4 linked regions of the Neurospora crassa OR74A genome follow. The protein of the gene in region 4 interacts with the protein of the main gene of each other region in a pairwise test. Links are inferred from orthologs where the notes say so. Each region holds a gene or a part of one and is shown on either strand. Other genes may lie near its edges. The genes, in order: NCU08030, NCU00225, NCU03118 and NCU03947.

Region 1 (3,660 bases), on a different chromosome or scaffold from region 4:
ACAGCGTGCCCAATACCTGGGCAAGTAAAGAGACGGGAGTTTCAATGATGATCAAGAAGCTCACCTGAACATATGATGAGACTGCCAAAAGGGGGCCAAAAAAAGTCGGTTATTTGCAAAAAAACAAGCCGTTAAATTGCCAAGCGGAAGATGACTTTAGAAATCAAGCCCATCCTTCTTTGGAGCAGCTGAGGGCTTCTCCTGCTCATCCTCGAGCATAGGCGGGAGACTGTACGGTTTGATCACCAAGCCCTTGGATGCGCTCAAGCTGAATGACAGGTTCTCACGGAATTGGCCCGACTCTGCTCCTCCACCACCCTTCTCATGATACACAGGCAGTGTGTATACTTTGAACATACCCTGGGGTTGCTCGTTTGCCTTGGGATCCGACCTTGAGGGCGGCGGTGGCGCGGCACCTAGCCTGGCAGGCAAGGGGATGAGCTCGACGACGCCGTCACAAAGAATTTCTATCCACCGGACCAGGCCTGAACTGCGAGGGAATAAGGACGTCGGGAAGGTAATGATTGCTGTGAGCTGGGTGCTGTACAGTCGAAGGAGAGCCCGGAGCCCATGTAGAAACTGTAGAACCTCTGATGGTTGGGCGCATCCAGGAGGATAGAGGGTTGGTGAGAGGAGACTGGGCACCACCAGTCTATGAATGGCGTTTGATCCTGAGCTCTCCAACTTGGCCCGCAATTGCTTGAGAAGCATCTTCAGAGGAGAAGCTGTCCCAACACTTTTCCGGTCTAAGCTCGGGGAACCGCCAACTGAAATCGGGTTCAGAGTACCCTTGGACTCGGAGCTGGCAAGCCTCTTGCTGAGATCAAAGGAGTGACAGAAAGGCGCTCCAGAATCCCCACGAGCAGAAGCTCCTGCATTGGCGTTGTTACCCAAGGACTCATATCTCCACGCAATCTTCATCTTCTCTTCGGGTGCCGGCGCCGGTGATGCACTCTTTGACTTCTTGTCAGGTGAAGCCAGCCCTGGAAGCTGATGCCTCCATTCTGGCGGAAAGGCTACTGCGTGAACCTGATGCCCTTGGACGAGACCCTCGGCAGCATAGTACCGTAGAAGAATTCCAGAGAAGTCGGTGGTCCCTTGCTCCTCAACCAGTAAGCATGTTCCTAAGGGGAGTCCACCGTGTCCTGCAAGAAGTTGGTCCAGGGAAGCAGTGCCAGTTGAAGTGGTCAACCTGCCATCAGTTGGTGATGGTCGAAGACCCGGCGCAAGCTGCGTTTCCTGTTTGGGTTGCTGCTGCTGGGGAGCGGACGGCGTGAGTCCGGCTCTCGGTGAGGATAGGACGGTGTTTCTTTTGACGAAGGACATAGTTCAGTCGGCAAGTTGCAGTCCTTATTTGAGTATCGAATCCAAACTTGATGATGTTGAGGTATGTATTCTTCAAGTCCAAATATAGTCGATTCGATCCCTGGAAGAAATTCCATGGAAGCTTGGACGTCACTGGAGTGCCTGAGAGCCCCGCTGTACTTTTGTCACACACTGGACGGGCGTGACAGGGATTTTCAATGGTGGTTGCCCCACTACTTGCCCCGGCATCCTGGTCCAATTGCCGCAAGGCTGGAATTTTTTGGGACGGCAACTGCATGGCGGCATCTCCATCGCTCAGTCGCATCTCCAAAAGTTTCCCCAAACACCATCATTACTACCGCTCGCGACAATTCGTTTTACCCACCTATCGACACGCGTTTGATACTCGACCAAAATCTGACACTAGTATCCTTCCGAGCAATCAATATCCAACATCGACTGTTTCATCGATTCCACACCAGCATTCACAATGTCCGCCCTCACGTCCGACGCCCAACTCTTCGAGGACGAGTTCAAGGTCGAGAGAATCAGCGATCCCAAGTACGACCGCGTCGACCGTCTGTACTGCACCTCCGTCGATGGCCAGACCAGCATGCAGCTCGATGTCAACAAGGAGCTCTTCCCTGTCAAGGTCGGCGAGTACCTTAGAATTGCATTGGCTACTTCCTTGTCCCTCGACGGTAGCAAGGACGACGAGAGGGGTTGGCGCGATGCTGCCAAGCTCGGTAGCGTTGAGCAGACCCTGGCCGACAGCTATGAGTATGTCTGCCATGGCAAGGTCTACAAGTTTGAGGATGGAAAGGATGGCCAGACCATGTAAGTTGTTGCCTGGGAATTGGGCAGGAGTATCTCGACCTTGGAATTCGGGGAAAATGAGTGGCTGACTGGTTCGGTTGCGAAATTTAGCAAGGCGTATATGTCCTACGGTGGTCTTCTGATGGCCCTCGATGGTCCCTACAAGAAGCTCACGCCCCTGCGTGTCGACTACGTCTACCTCCTCGCCAACAGGAACGCTTGAGAGCTGAAATTTCCGGAGAATAAAAAATTGAAAAAAAGCAAATGTTTCCAGCGGCTAAATAGCATCAGACCGATCAAGAGTCTAGGGCGCGAGCAACATTCATTGGATCTTTGGAGGGCGAACGGGCGTTTAAGGTTATGCGTGGACCAGAAAAGGCATATCCTAGGGAAAAGGGGTCTGGGGAAAGTAATGAATCAACGATACCCGGAAAGCAAGTACCTGTATTTATGCCGCTACCGAGCCAAGGGCTGTCCATCTGCCTTTGGAAGAGCTAGTGCCCTGCGGAAGGTGCTCGATGGATTCAGGCCTGATGAGGACCGGGAAAGGCGATGTGTCGATGAGCCCGGTCACGAAATGCGTCGTAATGCGGCTCGTTTTCAGGCGTGTAAATGCCGTGCCGAACGAAGAAATCGAGCATGACGACGGCACAGTTCGGCTTCCACATTCCCTGGGCGAGCTGTTTCTGGATCTCCTCCACTGTGCACAAGCTGAAGCTCTCGACCTCGCCGTCTTTTGGCTCGGGGACGACACTTCCATCCGCAGGTAGCTCTAGATCATAAATCCATTGGCATTCCGGGTAGATCAACCCCGCCTCGCCTCCCGCGCGCTCGTCCGTGATGTAGATATAAGTGATGGTGCAGACCTCTTTGGCGTTGTTCCTCACGATATGCTCGGACAGTGAAGCCTCTTCGTCCGCCTCACGGATGACGCATTCGAAGGGGTCTTCGTTGGTCATCAAGCCACCCGCTACCGCGTTGTCCAACATGCTCGGATAGGTCGATTTGGTCGCGGACCGCTTGGGAACCCAGATTCTCAAGTCATACTTGCTGCTGGCATCCTGACGTCTGATGAAGGCGTTCATATGCACGCCGTAGCGTGTGGTTCCAAAGAGGCCCATAGCTGCCCGCTCTATGCTGAACACGAGCTCCTTGTTGCGACCATAAACTGGCCACAGCTCGTTTCGCCAGCTCTTGAGGATGGCAAATGCCTCTTGTTCACGCCAAAGCGCAGTGAGCTTTCCGACAAGCCGAGTGCGTTCCTCGTAGGTTTTGTCCGGGGCATCACGGAAGAGCACTACAGTCCTATTAGAGACATCGATGTGCAACCCTAACTGTCCTTTGAGAGTTGCCGGGGCTTTGTTGAGTGCATCGACAACGTCCAGCTTCACGTAGCCTATGGGTACCTGACCCTGCTGGTCTTCCCAGACGAACGTGTAGAAAGACTTCATGATCTGGGCATAAGCCTCGGGATCCCGGTCCGCGTAAGGGAAGCTTGATTTTTAGAGATAATGTAAGCGCTCGTTCTGGTCATGTTCG
Region 2 (4,507 bases), on a different chromosome or scaffold from region 4:
CTTCGTCACTAGGTCTCTTGCAAATGGATTGTATGTATCACCACTTACTTAGATGATGTGCAAAGTCGGACCGAGCATAGAGTCTACCATAAGTTTCCACAGATTCTGGCTTGTCTGAGATATGAAAGCCAGGATGACTGGAGTTCTCCGGCAGTGTCACATCTTCGAAGCATATGAGGATGAGGGAGGGAACCTCGAGGTTGAGAATGTAACTTGGAGAGGATGGAGAGAGAGAAAGGTTGTAAGATTGAAGGTAGATATCGCTAGTGTTGTCATGGAAGTGAAATGTACATCAGGTCATGTCTTGTATGGTATGGCGGCTGTGATATGGATAAGTAATCATGGGGTTGTGATGGAGAGGGTGTTTTGCACAAGACAAGAAAGGGACACAAAAGAGTGGTCTGTTTACCTGGACCTAGGTCATAGTGAAGGGGTGGTTAGTAAGAACCGCCGAGTTCGGAGTTTGAAATGGAAATGAAAAGGTCTACTACAAGTACTTGTGTGTCAATATCATCGTCAGTGATTTTCCATCTTATTATGTGCCTATGGCGACCAGTCAGTTCAAGATCACGGTGCAGCAAGAACTTCACTTGTCCAGTGAGACATCGAAAAGTGCACTTAAACAGCCAACACAGTGTTGAGTACAAGTCACGGATCAGTGTCAGCTTGTTGTGCCTTTGCCAGAGGAATCCAAAACACTTGTTTTGATATTGCTGCTCTGCCTGATGCCTTTTGCCAGATGCCATATTGGGTGTTAATCCAAAACAAGCCTGTCTTATGTCCATTCTTACGACCTTGCCATGGTCGAGCTATGTCATAGTGCCACCTAGACTATAGCGTGTGTGTCTTTTTGCCCTCTGGATGGTTGCCATCCCATCCTTTGTCTGCGGTTTGAACCGGGTAAAAAGTGAAATATATCCTAGGTATAACGTTCATGCATGGAAGGAAAGGGGATAGATACGGGGAGGAACCAGGTCATACGAACGCGCGCAATTTCAACTTTCGAGCTTGAACAGTTTTACTTTGTTCGATTCCGCGGTAAGTGGTGGACAGATAAGGAAAACCTCTTTCACGGTTCCGGTGTTCATGAACCACTTTTCCGCTAAAGGTGAATGCAACCAAACAGACGAACACCGACCCCATGCTGGCTGCTTTTTTTATCCCAACCCGCCGCCATCCTGATTCTGACATTGCCGCCTCGAAGAGAAAATAAAGGGGGGGCCGTGTGACTGAATAGTCTGGCTTCGATGTATGGTCGTTATGCCGATATTGAGAGGCATTTAGTTGCCGAGGCTGGGGAAGGCAGACTCATCGTTGGGGTTGATGGGAGCAGCCTTGTTCTCGGCGCGGGGAGCACCGCCACGGGCAGCACCACGGGCAGCACCACGGGGAGCGCCACGGCCACGGCCGGCGTCACCACGGGGACCACCGCGGCCACCGCGGGCACCACCACGAGCGGGACGCTCGGGCTCGACGAAACGCTGGTCGATCTCGAGGACCTGCTTGACCTTGCGCTCACGCTCGCGCTGCTTCTTGCCGGCGGAGCCAGCAATGAACTCCTCGGTCTCATCCTTCTTGAGGGGCTTGGCGTTGGCCCACTTCTTGTCCTCAACGACACCCTCGTTGGCCTTGCGGACCTTGAGGGCGGCCTCGGCCTCGAGAGCGGCCTTCTTCTCGGCGAGCTGGGCAAGGTACTCAGAGTAGGAGACGTGCTTCTCCTCCTCCTCCTCGGGGATAGCCTCAGCGGCGGCCTCACCCTCGGTGGTGGCCTCCTTCTGCTCAGTCTTGGCGATCTCCTCGGCGGCCTGCTCATCCTTCAGCTCGGCCTGGCCCTCGGTGGCGCCCCAGGAAAGGGCAGCCTGCTTCTCGGATCCGCTAGTCAGGGTGTTAGTGGACGGAGGTGCCTGTGGCTAGAAATTGCTTGACCGGAACATACGAGGGGATGGACTTAGAGTGGCGGTCATCCGAGGTGTTACGGGGGTGACGGCCACCGCGACCACCGCGGACGCGGGCGTTAGCGCCGCCGCGGGGACCACGAGCAGCACCCTCCTCAGTGGGCTTGCCACGGTTGCGGTCGCTGCCGGCGTTGCGGTCGCGGAAAGCTGGGACCGAAAATGTCAGTTGAGAGGGTAGCCATGGTTAGCATGTTGGATGATCAACATACCGGCCTCGTTGCCGGTCAAGTTAGAGCGACGGCCAGAGCCCTGAGCGGGGGCCTTGCTGGGAGCGACGCCATCGGAGTTGCGCTTGGTGGTGTGGGTCGAGGTCTTCTCGACGATCTTAGCAGGGGCGGCGGGAGCGGTGTTATCCTCCACGTCGTTGCCTGAATGAAAACAATCGATCCGTCAGTATTGGTGGTTCCTTGGATTGCGGTGTTCAATGTTCCTCCTCGCCCTGCCAATTTCGAGTGTGCCGTCGCGTGGGTTCCGTAATTCACAGGAGGGTGGGCAACCAACCGAGCAGATCGAACAGGTTCTGTAGAAAAAGAATCGCAATCGGTTAGTTTCTTGCTGTCTTGAGCTCTAGATTTTCGCGGTATGGCCGGCTGCTGCTCGCTGTGCGTCTGGATCCCCATTCTCCAAGCCTCCCTCCTCTTTCGGATCCCAAATTGTCGCAAGGAGCCGGTGTTGGCGGACTCGCTCGGAAACAAAAATGAAGCTCTCAGTTTCATTTCACGGCGAGGTCCAACCACGGGGTCATCCATATCCGCTGCACAGCATGCAGCTCTCGGCCGACCGTGAAACCGGCCATTTCGGAGATTGACGGGGAGAGAGATAAACACACCTTGGAAGCGACCGACATCTTTGCGCTTGACAGGACGTTGGCCTGACTCAATGCGCTTCTTCTAGACGGGGTTGGGTAGGGGGGGCGGACGACAGCGACAACGACGTCTGATGCTCGCTGTGGTGTCGTAAAAGATTTTGGCAAATCGCTCCCGGGCCACAGGGAGCTCGGACCAGGTTTTGGCAGTGGCACGGATCACAGAGACGCTCGTGCCCCGCCCACCTGCACCAAATCTCCCCTCCAAGGCCCTGCTCTGGCCCTCTTTGCCGCTGTTCCCCGCTTCCAACTTTGACTGCCGTTTTGGCTTTTTGGTGAAATTTCAGTGCGCCGCTGTTATTGGTGGTTAGGGCTACCACTTTGCACGCTGCCTGCCCTTTGTTACCAATGTGACGTGCGTATCGATCCGTACACGCCGTAACTTTGCCTGTTTGAGCTCTGCTCCCAATCCGGCAAGTCTTGGCAGAGTGTTTGCAGCTGCGACGACAACCACTCACGACCATAGACATCATCGTCACCAAGGTAAACAAACCACTGGAAACACATCCGTCACAAACACCTGACGGAAGCTGCCGCTTTATATGCCAAGTTGACGCATTCCTGCTGAGGTGACAGCCTTCTATGAGATCGGACCTGCCTCAAGCACCCCGGACTTCCTGTCAACGGACTTCATGCCAAAAAGGCACGCATTGCCGTCGTGCTTTTAGACACCGGACGTCATGTCTTTCTTGGGGAAGTATTACCTTGGTTGCTGTGCTTGACGGCTTGCCAACAGGTGCTTGATCACGGCCACATTGGAGAGGTCATCACGGACCACTTGAGCAGTTTGATATGCAGCGTGGACCTTTCACCTTTTTTTTTCTTTTTCTTTCTGTTTTTTTTTTCCAACCCCTACTTCTATCTTACTTCCTTTCATTCAAGACTTCTCTGGAAAGTCTGCCATATGCCATGATGTAGAACAGTGTTGGAAGTTGTATAGGTTCTACGTGTCTGTTGAACCGCATCACCCTCAAATCACAGCGGCTCTGCATGCGTTTCCACAAGTGTGGTTCTGGATGGACTCACCCGTTGGTTTGCATCTGACAGTCATGGCAGAGAGTGGACGCTGTGGCGACGAAGCTCAAACAGCAACTATATTAGGACGAGTACCGTTCGCCAGTCGAAGCAGTTGCCAATGGATGTTGAATTCATGAATTGAAGCTCCCCTTTTTAACACACTTGTTTACTTCCTCGTGGCCCTTCGAGGCGGAGATGGACATACATCTGCAAAATACATAACCTTTACCACATTAGAGTCCTGTCCTCGCATCGAGAATGGAAGATAGCCATCAGCAAATGTCTCTTTGTTGTAGGTTAGTTAACCTGAGATATCGGTATCAACTAATCCAGTTATTGTACGGATAACAAGTCGCGGAGAGCCATTTCATCATGATCAATATGCAAGTCGACTTCCTTCTTTGTTGTGTAGCTCTGCAATTCCTTTCTCTCCTTTTCATCTGCCTTTTCAAGATTCTACTGCATTTCTCGTGTCTTGCTTTTCACCCAACATCGAGTCTTTCGTGTTAGTCATGGCAGATTGTTTGAAGTCAACTTACAGGCGTTGTATCAAACAGTGTGTCTCTGTGTTTCTTGACAACTAAGAATGTCTCCACGGCGTTGCCAGAGAAAGTTGGGCATGTACTGGATGAGAAGCATTATCTAGCCTGGTCGCCATTGTTTGGCATGA
Region 3 (4,348 bases), on a different chromosome or scaffold from region 4:
TTCAAAAAGGGTTATGCGGGTTGCAATGGAGTTCGGTGGCGATATCATGGGATTGTTGAATGGGAACTTTTTGAGGGATCACACGGAATCAAGATGTTGTGCGATATAGAACGCAGATAGATTCAGCCTGCAAAAGAGAAGGCTTGAGCACGTCGATAGGCGACGTTGCCCGGAATTTAAAAGGAACTTGTTGATGGATCACACACAATTTTCGCTTGTCTCCTGAATTATTCATGTGCTCGTTTGTGTTTGTGTGTGTGTTTTTTTGCGGGTTCGTGTATCGACGCATCCCCGTATGTGATCTGCATCTGGGGCTACTTGATCATGGATGCGATCGTCAGTTGTTGACATTCATCTTTTGCAATAGTGTACAACCATGATATTCGATACTTTTGCCAGTGGCGTGATGATTGTGGAATGTGCATGGTTCGCGCTGTTCTCCGTACCACTCTATGAAGTCAGAAGAGAATTCGAGCCCCGACAATTGTGAAGATAAATATCATGATTTTGCGGTATTTTCCGGCCGGAAAATGTATGATTATCGAAATGTTCAAAAGCATTGTTCAACAAAACCGACATAGGTATTCTTGAAGACTATCATCGTAAAGTAATAGTGCTTGGAAATTCCCAATGTCCAAGTGTGTGATATTCATACTTGCGTGAACAGTCTCCCTAGTTGAGTGAAATGACCAAGTCTACTCTCGACACTGCCCTTTTCTACTTCTACCTTTTTCTAAGGAATGAAGCCGTCTGCCGACATCTATCGATTTAGTTCGTCCGTTCATATCTTCATGAGCTATTCCTTCTAGTCTCTGTCATGTACAGTGTCTTTTTCTTTCACATCCGTTCTCCTTTTTCTCTATGCTTCATTTTATTTTGAAAATATCGGTCCCTGCATACGTCCTTTTATTTTCCCCCACAAAAAGCGATCAAGTCCGTACTTTTCCTCCGCCCGTGCTCATTTTTCTTTTTCAAGAGAGGCCTTTTACTTCTGGAGGGCACTCTCCGGCAAAGTAGCAACCTTCTCATCAAACAACTGCTTCGCCCGCGCCCAGACAGGCGAGTTCTGCCAGTCATTAAGCGTAAGCAACGAGGGAAGCAAATCATGGCTGAAGGCCTCGGAAGCCTCGCGCGGCAGAAGCGAGGGGAGGTGGTCGATGGAGATGACGGAGAGAGGAGGACCCGAGGTCAGCCCGTCGACAGGAACCGTAGGCTTGTCGAAGGTCGTGGCCACCGTGTAGATGGGCACCGGGGTGAAGGGAGAGGTGGTGTCGGCGGAGACGTCGCAGACTACGCGGAGCTGGCGGTCGGGGACCTGGAGGGACTCCATGTTCACTGGTACTTTGTTAGTGAGGGTGCTCCCGGTTCTTGTTTTTTTTTGGTGAGGGGAAGGCTGTTTGTTGCTGGAGGCTGGAATATGTGGATGTGGGCCAGGCTGGGAGTGAGACCGATTTTTCGGCTTTGTAGTGACTTAAGCTGTCCCCGAAAAAAAAGGGGGGGGAAAGGAAGGGGAATACACATACCAAAGTTGGGAATCTTGCTGGTGAGGTAGATGCAGTTGACAAAAATGTCGCTGTCGGTGATCTCCTCTGTGATGGTAGTCAGTACTTTTGTTCCAGATCTGGTGAGTCCTAGGGGTGTGCTGGTTCCAAAAACATACTGAAAGGACCGCCCTTCGCAGTCTCGGCCATATCCCAGTCGAGAATGTTCTCATCGGGGATACCGGCCTTCTTGAGAGCGCTGACGGCACCGGAGCCGCAACGGCCACGGGCACCAATGACGATCACGCGGGGAAGACGGCCGGCCGCCTCAACACCCTCCTTGACAGCCTTCTTGACGTCGGCAATCAGAGCATCCTCGTTGGGGTAGCTCTCGACGCCGGGGAAGGGCTCGCTGTGGTTGAGCTGCCAAGCCCACACCTCGAGGGCAAGGGCGGCACCGGCGAAACCAGCATGGAAGCCGAAAGCAGCCACACGGCGACCGTGCTCATCAACCAAGAACTCGAGGTCAAGAAGAGTGCCGCCACCGCGGGGGAATCTGGCAAGAACGTTCTCCCAACCGGCTTGCTGCTTGTCTGTGTTGTCTCGAGTCAGCGATGATTCTCCTGGCCACCAAAAAAGTGCCGGACGTGGCAAAACTTACAGCAGTGAGCGAACTGAACATGAACGTGCTTGAGAGGGAAATCCTTCTCCTCCAACTCCTTCAGGCCAACAATGATGTGCTCCTTGGGAGCATCGACCCAGCTGTGCTCAGGCACCAGAGTGGCGCCAGCCTTCTCGAACTCCTCATCGTCGAAAATTCGCTCGGGGGAGCGCTCGACGTTGACGATGTAGCCAGCCTTGATGAGCTCGGCGGTGGTGGTGGGGGTGAGCGCAGACCGGTGCTCGAGATGCTTGGTCTCGCTGCGGAGGTGGAGAACGGTAGGGGCCATTTTGTGAAGGGGACGTTGAATTATGGAAAACAAGGAATGAGGAAGTTGAAGATGGATAATGGAGAGATTTGTTTTATACGGGCCAGGGCGAGATCGGGCATGGCCTGCGGGATGGGCTGCCAGGGTTGATTGAGTCACTGCCACTGCGGGAAAACAGGGCCCGCCAGGCTGGCAGAATGGGGAGGGACGGGAAGCCCCAGTGCCCCTTGGAGGATTGGCCCCATATTATTTTTGTGAGCGTGCATTTCCATTTGAGAGGTAGGTACCTTGGTACAGGATATACCTACGTCGAATAATCCCTAGAGGTAATCATGTTCATGCTTACTACCACATGTTCTCAAACTGTGAAGCAGAATCCCACTCGCTGTCTAAACATATATCGCGACTCCCGTCATCGGCTTTTATATTGACATGTTATGATGTGTTAATGGCCCTTTATCATGGAGTGGATGGCGGAGCGGATGTAAATTGGTCGGGACTTGAAGATGCCAGGAAGTGCTGACCAATGGGTGCCCCTGTAGGACGGCACCTGGCCCGATGGACCTCATGAGATGGTGGTGTCTGGGCAACTGTCAGTGTGAATATAGCGAAGCTGCCCACTGCAGTATCTTAGCACCTTGCAGTCATGACTTGTTTTCGCAGTTTCGTCGGAGCAGCCCCCGGCCGACCAACCCCTTTCTCGGCTTGCCTGTTTGCATCAGCACTCTGGACCGGAGTTTGGACGAGAAGTCTGGACAATCCAAAAGAGATTTCCGAGATTCCGAGGACCTGGAAAGGCTGGCTCACCCTCGCTGGACCCCAAGATGGATTCTGCTGGCAGCCAGCCGACTCGTCCATGGATGTCTCATGTGCGGGCCAGCGAGTCCAACGGGGAGTAGGTAGAGGTAGGTCGGGCTTGCTTGGCAAACCCTATAAGAATTTATAGTGTAAGGGTTCCCTTTTTGACTTTCCACATTGGTCCTTCCCTTAGTTGTATCTCCGGTCTCCCCCGGGTATTTGCCCACCCGTCCGAGCCGCCATAGCCTGCCAACAACAACTGCTGCCCCTCCCCCTCCCCGGGCCCGACGACCCCCGTTCCACACCCGCCACCTCAGCTCACTATGTAGACTGTGGAACGGACTGGACCGACCACTGGATTCCTTAGTATGGAAAAGCGGTTGCACAACAGGATCGCCGCCAGTTTTCACCAGGAGATAGCCGTGGAGATGCAACACCACCAACAGCAACCACTCATGGATGGCGAATCCCCTCGGCAGTCGGAGCAAAGTCCGAACTAAGCTACATTCCGTCATGGTTGCCCGTCAGTTCAGGGATCCGCGTGCCCTTTTGTTGAAGAAGAAGCCATCATGAAATTGTTCTTTTTTTGGGGCTCGCTTTGTTAGGGGTCGCCGACTCGCGGTGCTATCCGTAACGTGCCCCCCCAAGACTACCTACCTCCCATGTAGATCGGCCATCCTACGCATCATCTGCGGCGTTGGAATTTTCTCTCATGTACTTCTTCCATATACTACCGTCTACCTACCTTTATCCTATCCCCATTACCTACTTTCAGCTCTGTACACACTGACGCACTCTTCGCACAGTCGAACACTGTAGGATTCTACCGCACCGTGGACTGGCTGGAAAAGACACAGGAGCAAAACCACCGGAAAAAAAAATAAAAGGAAAAAAAAAAGGGAAAAAAGGGATACCTAAGCACTCTGCGACCTCAAGACCTCTGGACATCATCAAACGGACAGTAACACAACTTCACACCTCATCACCCGAGTCACTACCGCGCACCATTCACACACTCGCACTCACACTTTAACTGACCACGAACCCCGACTACACCCACTTACCGATCCTGGACTCTGGCCCGACTGACATCCCGTTGATGATGATATCCCAATCCGGAACTCGACAGATTTCCCGAAC
Region 4 (4,561 bases):
CTACCATTGGGGATTAGATCCTCCTCCGTGATTACGCCGAACCGCTCGTCTTCAGTAGAGAAGGTTGCGTCAAGAACGTCGGTGATGTCGTTATCCAGCATCCACTGCAGAGACCGATGGAAATCGGCATCCACACCCTCCATATCCGCCAAGCTGACAGCCTTTCCGAGAACCATCTTGTACAGAGCGCCAATGAAGAAGGCATCCAGGAATCGCCTGTGGAAAATAGCCAGACCCACGACCCGGCCAATGAACTTGAAATAGTTGAGATGCTCAGGGTTGATACCCGAGTGGGGGTTGATCTGGAGGGTGTAGTTATCGTGGGCCGAATACTCGAACAAGCAGTAGAATGGATTGAACATTTCGTGAGAAAGGAGGAAGAAGAACTCGCGCGACAGACCGCCGTAATCGAGGCCGTCCTCGCCGTCGAACTTGATCATCAATCGTTTCTTCAGGTCCGTCGCCGATTGCCTCGAAATCTCCGCAAACGAATCCTCGAAAATGTGCGATCTCCTGACCTTGATGTGACACTGTCCGGACATGATCCGCATAGCAGGCTGCGAACGGAAATAGATGAGCTTCCTCCTGAAGTCTCTCTTGTACTGCGGTACGTTCTGGTCGAGCGACGAAGGCAGACGAGGATCATCCCAGGTCGTTGTCTTGGTATTGTGATCCACGAAGTAGACGCGAGCCGTGTTGGTGAGCCGCATCTCCCAACCACTAGGCAGGGGACCGAGCTGGGACACCGGCTGTTGTTGAATGGTCCCGTTCGTGTTGTTCTGGCCACCGTACATGCGAATGTACTGCTGGCGTCGAGGGTCGACCCAGGTAGTAGTGCGCGTGTTGTGGTCGACAAAGTACGGCCTTCCTTCTGGGGTAAACCTCTGCTCCCAACCAGCAGGTAATTCACCGGTTCCGGGGGTTGTCGCCCCGGTATGCATCATAGTGGCAGCATTGGCGGTGGCGGCAGCTTGCTGCTGCTGTAGGGTGGGGGAATTGGCGCCAGTGCGGTCCTCGGGAAGTGTTCTGTTCTGATGCCGTTGACGCTCGACTTGAGTATTGGCTTCGGCGGTACGGTTTTCGGCCGCCCCTGTGCCAGTTGGCCGATTCCAGCTCGTGGTCCGTGAATTATGATCAACATAATATGTCCTCCCCAAATGATCCTCGCGACGTTCCCAGCCAGCTGGCAATCTTCCCATTGAATCTTCGAAGGGGCTAAGCGTGCTATGGTGCCTGGCTTGCGCCGGAACGAGGGTCGACGGGTTCGTTGGGGCTGTTCCATTTGTCCCGGGGGTCGGGGCTGTCGACGACGACGAAACAGCCAGGCTGGCGGGTCGGCTTGCCAAAGTCATGTTATTGGCGGTTCCATTAGGTCCGGACATGGCTGATGAAGGACGTTCGTTCGCTCTGTCGTTAGAAATAACCGAACTTTGAGGGGTGAGTAGTGATGGTCTGCTCGAAGATGGAGGGGGACCGAGGCGACTCATAGTTGCTGTGAGGTTAGTAGATAGGTTTATGATCAGTTTGCCGTGCACCACAAGGTTGTCGGTCGATTTCTTAAGGTCCCGCGTGAGCATCTGATCTGTGGGTGTGGTGCATGTCAGTCCCAAATCGCGCTGTCAACCTGCAAACACATGTGAATTGCAGTGAAACCTTACCTTCCGCATCGGGAGCCAATTCTATTACGTCCCCTATCCGGACATTGATGACACCGAGGAAACCTTGGTCCTTCTTTTTGAACTTCTTTTGGTCGAACACCTGGACAGCCAGAATGCTGTCCTCATTCACTTTGCTACGTTGTATTAGCCAGCTGGCCCTTGGGCTGTCAAATCTGAGTTAAGGTCGAACCTACAAATCAAAGTGTTCGTTCCAGTATGGGTTTAGGGTACGCTTGGAGACCTGGGTGGTCTTTGTCTGCTCACCGTTAATGGTAGCGACGGCGAACGGGTCGGGAAACCCTATGATGATGATGCGGTTAGCATATGCCACCTGGAAGTGGCTTAGAAGATGCATGACACCTGGCCACGGGGAGAAACATACTGAAGACATCTCGCTTGTATAGACCATCGGCGGCGATGACTAGAGGGGCATGTTAGTACACCGGTTGGTCATCGGACACATTCGTCGCAAAGGGGCTGAGTACTTGTTACGCGGAGATTGGGCTGGCTTTAATCGTGGTGGTTGTTAGCTGGCTGTTCTCTCGCTTATAATCCGCGGTCCCTGAGGGCGACGCAAAGCAGACAAGATGGGTAGATGGAGAGTCCAGTCGTGGGAGAACTTACGCCGGCAGCCCCGAGTCCCGGCTGCTGGTCATTGTTGCAGATGGAGCGCGTCAACAAACTCGCACGCGGGGCTTTAAGTTTTCGTCTCGTTTCTTGGACCAAGCAGAGGCTGGTCGCAATCGGGTCGGGTAGTCGGTCGCTCTCGCTCGTTTGGGATCGAGGACTCGCGGCTGAATGCAGGCGGGGCGGGGATGAAAGGAGGACAAGTCGACGATGGTACAAGCAGGCTGAATGATTGTTACAAAAGGGCCAACTCTCCTTGCGATGGACACTGACGTTGACGAGAACGCGCAGTCACTGGCAACGGAATGGATGCGGCAGGGTGGATGAAATTCTGTAGGTGGCAGTAGGTGGTAGATGGAAGCTAGAGGGACTCTTGAGCGCCCGTAGGTGGTGAGGCTGTGCTGCTCTTGGTAACTCGTGCGTGTGTGGCCAGCCGGCCCCCCCGCTTTGGGTATCTTACGCTGTCAGGTAGTCACGGCGGCGGAAGGCGAACTGCAAGGAAAGGCCAAGCAATCCAAGAGGCCAAGGTTGGACGGCTGTGGCTTGGTAATACTAAGTAATCTCTGTACTAGCAAGGTCGGCAAGGCAGGTCTGATACTTAGGAAACCACTTCTGTGGATCAACCAGCAGGTAGTGTAAACTCGCTCGGATGTCTAGGTTCGTCTGGTAAGGGTACCTTTAGTTAGTAGTGTCGAGGTTGAATGCTGTCGTTGTTTTGTCGCGGTGAAGCTGCTGGAAGTGGCGGGTGGGTGAGCTTGGGTTCGACGGACCAACCCCAAGAAGGTCCAGGTGAAGAGCTCAATGACCTTCACTAAGTTGCAACCGACGGATGAGCCAAAGGATGGGAGGGAAAACGACCGAGAAACCTGGACGTCTTGCGATGTTGCAAAGGTGCAATGGTGCAACGACCCAAGCCAAGAAATTGACAGTCCAAGTTGGATCTAGCATTGGTGAAGAGACAGGGGGAGGTGACAAGACATAATGGTTCAACAGCATTAACGGGAAAGTATGGCTGGCCTAGCATGCTCTGTGCGAGAAGCTTAACTTTTCAGTTAGTAGCTCAGGTATCGCATTAACGAGTGACTACTTTTAGGCCAGGAACTAGTTAGCAGAAGCCTGCAAAGAGCGAGAACTGAAGCGGAAGGTGCGCACAGTGCGGTACTTGACTTCTTCTCTTAAGCAGTTGGTCGGGTCATTCGAGTCCCAGACTCCCAGGGGGCCACATTCACTCCATGCTTGGCACGGCATCCAGATCTCGAGATCAACATCAACAACATCATTGGCACACAAAGAGCAACCTTGGTGTACATGGATCACATAGTCCCGTGTCTTTTCTTAGGAGTTGATGCCCTGTCAGGAAAATATCCCATGGATCACGGCTCAGTCATCGACACAGAGAATTAGAATAGGTAGCTATGCTGGCCTGAATGCCTTTCCATGACTAGGGGTAGGAAAGCACCTCCACCGACCGCCCCAAGCTCCGAGGTCTCTCCAGGAAACGCCAAGATTGTAGTAGAAGCTGTCTGTTCCAAAAACTCTACACAAGAGGTAGCCCAACGATCGGGGATGATGATGATCTTGCGCAGATCTACCAGATATCAAGCCACTACCGAACTTTGAAGAAACCTCCAGAGGCAGTCAATTAGGAAAGTGAACACTTCAAACCTCAACCTTGACAATTCAACGCACAGCACCTCTACATCCCATAACGACGATACACCGCACGGGGTGCAAAAAGGCGTTAGGTCGCTACTTAGCGTATCCCAGTACATGTAGTGTACCCCCGTTGCCGCCGACCGAGACGCTGCTGTTCCAACAATAGCGCATCACCGACATAAACGCCCGTCATTTCCATTTTGATACCCCTCGCGTGCGACGGAACTGCGGGGCGTTACTGCATCTCTGGATTTTCAATTGAGGTTTCTTTTTTTGTTGAGGTGCTTTTGACGATGGGGAGTTCATGGAAGCATAGAGGTACCCATCATATGTACACTAGGTTTGTACACTACACTAGTGGCTGTCATCATTGAACGAAGCGAGACAGCAAATGTGGAGCGCCCTTTGTTCGACACTTCTAAAAAGTGGTAGAGGTAATGCGCAATCCGCGTATAGCTCTTCTACCTAGGTAAGTACTCACTCTACTATACCTCAAAAACCAGCCTCTTTGAATTTCACCACAACCGCCTTCGGTCTTGTCGGAGCAAAGATGTCTTGCGCAGGTGTCTGTTGAGTTGTCATTTGCATGCCCTTTGTATATTGGAGTCGTTCAATTTCGG

What was found.
Region 1: the proteins of NCU03947 (region 4) and NCU08030 interact in binary tests that used the Saccharomyces cerevisiae proteins (3 or more experiments, as listed by UniProt). The link is inferred for Neurospora crassa OR74A from reciprocal best matches to the Saccharomyces cerevisiae genes RSP5 and RPB8.
Region 2: the proteins of NCU03947 (region 4) and NCU00225 interact in binary tests that used the Saccharomyces cerevisiae proteins (3 or more experiments, as listed by UniProt). The link is inferred for Neurospora crassa OR74A from reciprocal best matches to the Saccharomyces cerevisiae genes RSP5 and STM1.
Region 3: the proteins of NCU03947 (region 4) and NCU03118 interact in binary tests that used the Saccharomyces cerevisiae proteins (3 or more experiments, as listed by UniProt). The link is inferred for Neurospora crassa OR74A from reciprocal best matches to the Saccharomyces cerevisiae genes RSP5 and LYS1.

What each region holds. Positions count from the first base shown.
Region 1 is NC_026504.1:3,966,186-3,969,845, reverse strand, and holds NCU08030 (UDP-glucose 4-epimerase Gal10), read left to right. Parts: upstream 1-1,634; 5' UTR 1,635-1,795; coding exon 1,796-2,142; exon of another isoform or gene 2,143-2,232; coding exon 2,233-2,344; 3' UTR 2,345-2,645; downstream 2,646-3,660. Other genes in the region: NCU08031 (paxneb protein superfamily), read right to left, coding at 157-1,326; NCU08029 (thiamine pyrophosphokinase), read right to left, coding at 2,646-3,615. UniProt on the Saccharomyces cerevisiae protein: DNA-dependent RNA polymerases catalyze the transcription. of DNA into RNA using the four ribonucleoside triphosphates as substrates.
Region 2 is NC_026503.1:3,075,022-3,079,528, reverse strand, and holds NCU00225 (hypothetical protein), read right to left. Parts: upstream 2,961-4,507; 5' UTR 2,803-2,960; coding exon 2,785-2,802; intron 2,476-2,784; coding exon 2,457-2,475; intron 2,324-2,456; coding exon 2,165-2,323; intron 2,103-2,164; coding exon 1,937-2,102; intron 1,876-1,936; coding exon 1,281-1,875; 3' UTR 501-1,280; downstream 1-500. UniProt on the Saccharomyces cerevisiae protein: Ribosome preservation factor that protect a small pool of nontranslating, vacant ribosomes in cells under nutrient starvation conditions.
Region 3 is NC_026501.1:4,623,880-4,628,227, forward strand, and holds NCU03118 (hypothetical protein), read right to left. Parts: upstream 2,617-4,348; 5' UTR 2,432-2,616; coding exon 2,143-2,431; intron 2,075-2,142; coding exon 1,661-2,074; intron 1,590-1,660; coding exon 1,524-1,589; intron 1,336-1,523; coding exon 986-1,335; 3' UTR 562-985; downstream 1-561. UniProt on the Saccharomyces cerevisiae protein: Catalyzes the NAD(+)-dependent cleavage of saccharopine to L-lysine and 2-oxoglutarate, the final step in the alpha-aminoadipate (AAA) pathway for lysine biosynthesis.
Region 4 is NC_026506.1:2,205,662-2,210,222, reverse strand, and holds the start of NCU03947 (ubiquitin ligase), read right to left. Parts: upstream 3,150-4,561; 5' UTR 2,315-3,149; coding exon 2,283-2,314; intron 2,167-2,282; coding exon 2,144-2,166; intron 2,080-2,143; coding exon 2,041-2,079; intron 1,959-2,040; coding exon 1,853-1,958; intron 1,793-1,852; coding exon 1,659-1,792; intron 1,583-1,658; coding exon 1-1,582. UniProt on the Saccharomyces cerevisiae protein: E3 ubiquitin-protein ligase which accepts ubiquitin from an E2 ubiquitin-conjugating enzyme in the form of a thioester and then directly transfers the ubiquitin to targeted substrates.